Nothobranchius furzeri: one gene and its partner. The protein of the gene in region 1 purifies or fractionates together with the protein of each later gene. This does not show direct contact. Links are inferred from orthologs where the notes say so. Each region holds a gene or a part of one and is shown on either strand. Other genes may lie near its edges.

What was found.
Region 2: the proteins of gng8 (region 1) and gnb5a purify together in Homo sapiens (co-immunoprecipitation; 3 studies listed by BioGRID and IntAct, with this or other methods). This does not show direct contact. The link is inferred for Nothobranchius furzeri from reciprocal best matches to the Homo sapiens genes GNG8 and GNB5.

Annotation. Positions count from the first base shown.
Region 1 is NC_091750.1:45,718,366-45,722,617, reverse strand, and holds gng8 (guanine nucleotide-binding protein G(I)/G(S)/G(O) subunit gamma-8), read right to left. Parts: upstream 2,857-4,252; 5' UTR 2,727-2,856; intron 1,259-2,726; 5' UTR 1,205-1,258; intron 718-1,204; 5' UTR 679-717; coding exon 595-678; intron 378-594; coding exon 249-377; 3' UTR 137-248; downstream 1-136. UniProt on the Homo sapiens protein: Guanine nucleotide-binding proteins (G proteins) are involved as a modulator or transducer in various transmembrane signaling systems.
Region 2 is NC_091744.1:64,508,515-64,511,757, reverse strand, and holds the end of gnb5a (guanine nucleotide-binding protein subunit beta-5a), read right to left. Parts: intron 3,094-3,243; coding exon 2,950-3,093; intron 2,867-2,949; coding exon 2,775-2,866; intron 2,690-2,774; coding exon 2,641-2,689; intron 2,571-2,640; coding exon 2,474-2,570; intron 1,794-2,473; coding exon 1,627-1,793; intron 1,544-1,626; coding exon 1,532-1,543; 3' UTR 536-1,531; downstream 1-535. UniProt on the Homo sapiens protein: Enhances GTPase-activating protein (GAP) activity of regulator of G protein signaling (RGS) proteins, such as RGS7 and RGS9, hence involved in the termination of the signaling initiated by the G protein coupled receptors (GPCRs) by accelerating the GTP hydrolysis on the G-alpha subunits, thereby promoting their inactivation.

The DNA.
Region 1 (4,252 bases):
CTCATTTAATTGGGGTCATTTTTTGACACTGAAGATTTCTGTGATTTTCTTGAAACTTTGGAGGGAAAAATGGAGTTCGCTGAGATTGTGGTTAATGTGTAAATCGTGTTGGTGCTGGAACGAACTTTGACCCATCTCTTATTAAAACTTTATTGCCATCATTAGCATGGTTTAAAGCTGATCATTTCACACCAACATCTACATTCATTTTAACATTAACAACATTTGAGCTGGAATGGGTGCAGCAGTCACAGAATCTCACAGAAAAGCTTCTTCTCTCGAAAGGGGTTCTCTGATGAAGGCACGGGTGTCACCAGAGGGTCCTCTTTGGCGTGAGACTCGCAGTAGGACATCAGCTCAGCCGCAGCTTTGGACACCTGCACAAAAACAGCTGTGTTACCATCGGAGCTTCAAAAGGGACGAGATAAGGCGTTGGGTTATTTCAAATCAAAGCAGACACTCTTCGTTAAATCCATTTTATTTCACTTGTTCTAAACTGTGATAACATAAATGCACATTTTGTGCAAATTTGGAACAGAAACTGTAGTAAAAGACAAATTTAACTCGTTTTGAATTTGAGTTTCATCAACTCACCATCATCCTCTCTATGTTGACCTCCAGCTTCAGCTGCTCCACCGTCTTCCTTGCATCAGCGATCTTGGCCATGTTGTTAGACATCCTCCGCCGTCCCACTAGAGTCAGCCAGCCTGCAGCAAACTGTACAGGAGCAATTATGTTTGCAGGAATAAAATAAAAACGTTGCATGCATTAAAAGCACATGAGGGACAAGTTAGAGTGTGTTTCAATTTGCTTGTTAATTGTGCTCCCTGGGTCTCAGCTGCAAGAGGTGCAGGAAGGGTCTCAGCGGAGGGCAGGGGAGCGGAGGCAGAGCAGCCCTCCCCAGAGAAAGGAGAGCAAAGCAGGTGAGGACCTGCTGATGGTGTAAATGCACTTAATATTAACATGTTACACATAGAAAATGATACTTTACTAACTTAATCCTGTGCCTCCATTTTTTCATTTGAATTATCTGCTGTTGTTTTTGCAAGGATTTCTGCAGAATCAGACTTATTAACAAGAGAAATGACCTAAAACAACAATTATTTAGCATTTTAGTGGCCGAGTGACTCGTTTACAATGTAAGACTAATAATATACATAATAAAATCATAAAGCAGCAGTTGTTCTGGATAGTTTCTACTCACCAGACTGAGGAAAGACAGCTACAGTGAGATCCCTCTGATCTTCAACAGGGTCTGCTACAGAGAAACAGCAACAAACGAAGCGAGGTTAGCAGCAAAGATGAGGAGGAAGGCTTCAATTGGTTCCCTCCTTCCTTCAAATAATTAACGATGGCTCTGCCTCCAGGATGGGCTCAGAGCCGCCGTTAAAGGCGACATGTGGCGTGACCTTCATCTCCCTCTCTCACCTGAGACAAAAGAGAAGCTCTGAGATGGAACATTTAGATGAATCTGCACACATTTATGTGGTTTTATTGTGATAAGTGGCACATATTGAAGCTGTGTTTTATTTTGTAACACTTAAATGCAACATTAGAAGCTTCAAGAACATTCTGAGGAAATCAGGGATCAGCTTTGAGTGGCTTTATTGTTCTTTTTCCTATTTTACAGTCAAAATAAATGCATTTCTTATCATGTATGATTTTCATTAAGCAGACAGGTTTAAACTGCTGATGCAGGCCGGTGTTTAAGCTGTACAGACAGCATGTTTAATATAGATCAGTGAGTGAGGCGTCTGTGTTTTAGGCCAGCAGAAGTCTTGCTGTAATGGTATCCTGCCAGTCTTCCCTGTGAAGCTGACTGTTATTTCACACAGCAGCAGGGGGCAAAGTGGGAGTATTATGGGTAAATGTCAAGAGCCCCATTAACATTTGTTTCCTGTGGTAATTGGTTCCTCTGTACTGGGGATATGGAACCATATGAGGAGAAAATGGCAGCTGCTTGCTTTCGAACTCAACCAACTGGTGATACACACACACACACACACACACACACACACACACACACACACACACACACACACACACACACACACACACACACACACACCTGGTTTTGGATGATTTTTTTTCAGGTGTCGAGTAAAACACAAACCAGTTTTTCTGGACTGAGGTCCGCTGCTTTGTGGATGACACACTTCCTGCCTGAAACACCACTTACCATTCAATGTGTGTTACTTACAGGCTCTGCAAACATTCTCAGTTTATTGGTTTAGTTTCAGCGAGTGAGTGAAACATACAGATGTGGTGAAAAGTTTACATAACTCCAGTTTAATTTAGACTTTTATATATTAATCTAAACTTGTTTTAGCAGAAGCCAATCATTATTCAAGATAAGACTTATATGAGTTCCCATGGTCAAAATGCTGCATACACCTCATTGTTAGCTTTATTGCCCCTTATAGCTGGTTGAACCATGACCATGTGTTTTATTATAAATATTAATAAATTATTGTTAATAATTGTTAATAATAATAATAATAATAATAATAATAATTATTATTATTATTATTATTAATAAAAACAACAATAAGAATAACAATAACACTAATAATAAGAATAATAATTAGTATTAATAATAAAAACAACAACATTAATATAATAATAACACTATTAATAATAATGATAATAATAACAACAACAACAACAACAACAATAATAATAATAACAATGGGGATGCACAGCGGCACAGTGACTAGTTCTGTTACCTTGCAGCAAGAAGGTCTTGGGTTCAAATCCCAACCTGGGGTCTCTGTATGGAGTTTGCATGTTCTCCCTGTGCATGCTTGGGTTCTCTCTGGATACTCCGACTTCTTCCCACAGTCCAAAAACATGACTGCCAGGTTGATTAATTTCTCTAAATTGTCTTTAAAGGAACAGAGTGTAGTTTGTATCGTTAATCTCTGGAAACATCCATCAAAATGTTGTTGAAAAAATATTGGTGACTTCTTACCATAAAACCATAAAAATCAGGTCTAAAATACATGGGAGTGGGTCGTGTCTCTGGGTGATGCCATATTAGATGCCATGTTTCCTTCTATGGGAGCCCTTGAGGACAAAATGCATTTACTGATTTGTAGCAAATGATTATAAAACTTTCACCATTCATAAACATTGTTTTACACATTTACCTCTTTGCTAGTTGCCAGTGATGAAAGGAAGTTTGATGTGTTTGTTATTTTGCTGAAGTTTGCACTCCCCAGGGCTTTTTGACCCTAATGGGCATCTGTTGCAAAGTCTTACTCCAACACAAAAATACAGGATGTTTCTCAAGGAACCTCGCCTTGATGTCTTGGCCCCATCCTGGTTGCCTAGGAGATACATCATCAGGAGCCACCAAGACATTTTCCAGTGTTCATGTTCTACCGAGGCGTTTGTTCTCCATGTGTTAGCCGTTTAGCTAGCTGAGCAAGGATACACGGGAGGTGTCTTGTAGCCTAGCCGTGGTCAAAAATTGCCCAGAATACACCCCAGTATTTTCAAAAGGACGGTGGATCAGAAGCTGGCAGCTACTTCGGAAGCAAATTTCATGTTTAAAAGTAAGACAACTAATTTAAAATGCTTTTTTAGATCCAAAGAAGTTATCTATGGTTGGTTAGTTGCTTAGTAGTTGCAGCTTCGGTGGCTAGCGGGTAGTAACTCACTTATATTTTTAATTTAACAAATATATACACAATTTAAAAAGTAAAAGTCTCGTTATATATTTATATTGTAACTTATACATGTAAAATATAACGTTGTCTCCTGTGTCACGTGACGTTATGGTTCTGCCGTGGAAGCCGCGGTCACGTGATGCAAGTCTGTTCCATTTAACCCTTTTCTTTGACCAATGAAGGACAGTGTCCTCGTAAGCAAGGCACCTGGCCTCGCAAGATATTGCCTCGCAAGGCCAGGCGCCTTGACATTGAGAAACGTCTACAGCTTGCTTGCAACAATTTAGTTATCTAGTGCCCCCTATCGCCAGGAAAAATACACACTGTCACTTTAGTGTGTGTGCTTTGTTGTTTGTTCTGTGTGTCTCTGTGTTGCCCTGCAATGGACTGGCAACTTTTCCAGGGTGTAAGCTGCCTGTTTGCCAAGAGATTGCTAGAGATAGGCACCAGCCTCCTGAAACCCTGCATGGACAAGTGGATATAGGCAATGGATGAATGGATAATAATAATGAATTATAGAGATTTTCTAGACACGCAAGGCACTTTACAGAAAATCCATCATTCATTCACATTATGTGGGT
Region 2 (3,243 bases), on another chromosome or scaffold:
CATCAGGGTCACCGGGACACGAATGTTTCCCGTATTAGGTCAACTAGATGCGAATACGATAATTCAACCTGATTTTCGAGATTGAGAATTTTACTGCTCTCTGCTGGACGAACTTTGTTTCTACAAGAAGTTCATAACTATAACCCAGTGCATTAGTCATTAGCACTTCCTGGAGATTCCTTCAAAAGAAAACATACTTCTTAAAACTAAAACAGAGTTCAAATTAGTGTTAGCAGCACTAAAACTCAATCAATCTATTTTAATTACCTGCGTTCAACATAATCAAATTACTGAGCTAAAGCAGGAGCAATTAGCAGCTAGCTACAGACTAATGTATCATTTGCTTTTATTGAAAATTACATATTTGTGGATTGTTGATCTGTGATTTCATTTTTAAAAGACTGCCGCAACTAAAGCGCCCCCCACCCCACCTACACACACAAAATTTAAATAAATAAAATCTCACTCCAAGACTTTTTCCCTGATAATAAAAAAATCTCTGTAATATAAAGATAAAGAATGACAGACACAAGAGCAATATTCAAAATTCTGTTTATTATGTTTGTAATATTCTGAATAACAGTCCCTTGGATATCTGTACACTAAACTACAGTAAAATAATTACAGTGAATGTGAACTTTACAGCCATCAAAGCTGCACAGGAGGGACTACATTTTCCTAATCTCCCTAAATGTAAAACCACAAGAGGGGAACCACAAAAATAAATAAATGCATAAATAATGTGGTCAGTTGTTACTGAATTCGTAGACTTTTTGGTTTCTTATACAGCAGAAAAGTAAACAGGAAGTGAACAATTTGTATAACTAAAGATAGAAATCAACATGAATGTAAAACTTTTTATCTACCTTCTTAGTATAAGTATGACAGGTGAACCATCATTGATAATAGTGACATTTTTGTCTGTTTCTTTGAATAATAGTTCAAATTAGCAGATTTTTTTTTGTATTTAAGGCCAGAGATTTCTCTAGTCCACAGCTCAACTGGTTTAAAACTGAAATATATAATTTTCTGTGCCTTTTTTAAAACTTCATGGTGTTGACTTCACACAGAAGGGGCTATCCTATCCTCCCTCTAGGTCCAATCAGTGATATAATCAGACTTATTTAGTCTTCCTTCTCTAAATGCTTTTGCTCTTTTTATTACCTTGTGTAAATTAAATAAATAGCTAATTTCCTTTCAAGTGGACAAATGTAATAATAACTTTACTGAATCACTTCTAGCCTAGACCAATGCAAGTTACTACTATTTATATTTTCTTCATTTTTTTAAAATAAAAGTTGCACCTATATTTCTGTGCTATTTTCTTTCAGTTTTAATGAAATGTAAGCGTGCCATTTGGTTTAATTACTCTTTGACATGTAAATCTATCCTTGTCCAGGAGACTGGAGTATGTACAAAGCTATTGAAATGCTCTATCTACATCCAAGAAGTGTTTCCATCTCTGTGATTGTTTTCTAGCAAACAGAAACATCAGTGTGTCTTCAGCATCTAGGTCACTGTGGCTCGACGCTCAAGCCCAGATCTGAAAAAGGAAAAAGCAGCAATCACTGCAGAAGTCACTGAAACTTGAAAAGTTATCTCAGAGGTTACAAAAAAGTCTCATACCCGAAGAGTGTGATCCCAGGATCCTGTGCAGAAGGCCGTACCATCGGGAGAGACACGCAGCGTGCTGACACGGTTCTCATGTCCAAACAGAATAGAGACCCGTGTTCCTTTGAGAACATCCCAGACGTTTATAGTGTAGTCGTTGTACCCACCAAACAGTAGCCGTCCTGTTAAAATGAAAATACACACAAATCTTTTCAGCGATCTTTAAAAAGTAATAATTGTAAGCAAAGAAAGAGCCAAGATCCTCAATATTTAAACGTGTGGTTCCCTGAAAATTTTTTTTTTATTATTTCTGATTATAAAATCGGTCACTCCGAGTTTTCATGCAGGCTGAACATGAAAACTGTCTTCACACCTACCTCCTGCATCAGCTTCTGATAGAAAATACAGCGAAATGCTAGGATCTGAAAATCCTCACATATCTATGTCACACTGGATTTGTACTCATGGCCTCGCCCATCTTGGCTCGCGCCCACTCACAGGAGGGCTTTCGTTTGTTTTGTTGTTGTTTTTTTCCAACAAGGAGAGAGAGCGGAGAGTGTCCTGGTGATGGTGACTTTTCAACACGGCTGAACACGTTCTGTGAGCCAGTCAGAACTGAGGTGTGGGCATATCATTAATAATAATGAGCAATCCAGCTGTTTTCAGCCCACCTCTGCACCAGTAAACTTCTGCATCTCAGAACAGAAGCAGCATAGCTTTTTTTAAATTTAAATGACTCATAAGGCATTGATTTATAATAGAGAACACTGCAAATGTATTGAATAAACAAGTACACCACACCTTTAAATAATATTGAGGATCATATATTCAAAAGTAGTATTGAAGGGAAATAATATCATACCACTGAGTGAGAAATCAACACTGGAGACCCCAAATATGATGCTATCTTTGGAATAAATAGCCACTTCTCTATCTGCCCTCAAGTCATAAAGCCGACACTGAAACAAAAACAACCGATTTCAGTTTACTTGAAAATGTCCCTTTGAGGTGTTTAACAGTTTAACTTACTGTGGCATCATCTGATCCAGATGCAAAAGCATCTCCACTTGGGTAGTATCTATTAGAAAAAAATTGGGCTACATTATAAAACAAAGTCAGTCAGAATAGCAATCACGTTTTTTCTGATCAGGACCGTGACTCACCGCACGCTGTTTATGTCTGATTCATGAGTTTCAAAGGACTGAATGCATTGTCCTGAACGCATGTCCCACACGTTAGCCTTCTTATCGCAGCCCTGCAGAAACAGGAAAGATTAATGCGACTCCGGCAATGAAAATCGTCCAACATTTAAATAAGCAGCACAGAGAGCATGCTCACCCCTGAAACAAAAGTGTTTCCTGTCTCAGACGGAGCCAGGTCCAGACACAGTACGTCTGCTGCATGTCCATGGAAACTCTGCAGCAGCTGCCCACTCTCAACATCCCATAATGCACATGTTCCATCACCACTGGATGTCAGGATCTTTAATACAATCAGACAAAGAGAGGAAAGGTATATGCTTACTTAAGATGATGGTGCTACGAGAGTAATGGGGTGCTGATTGTCAAAGTCCATCCATCCATCCATTTTCATCCGCTTATCCGGAGTCGGGTCGCGGGGGCAGTAGCCTAA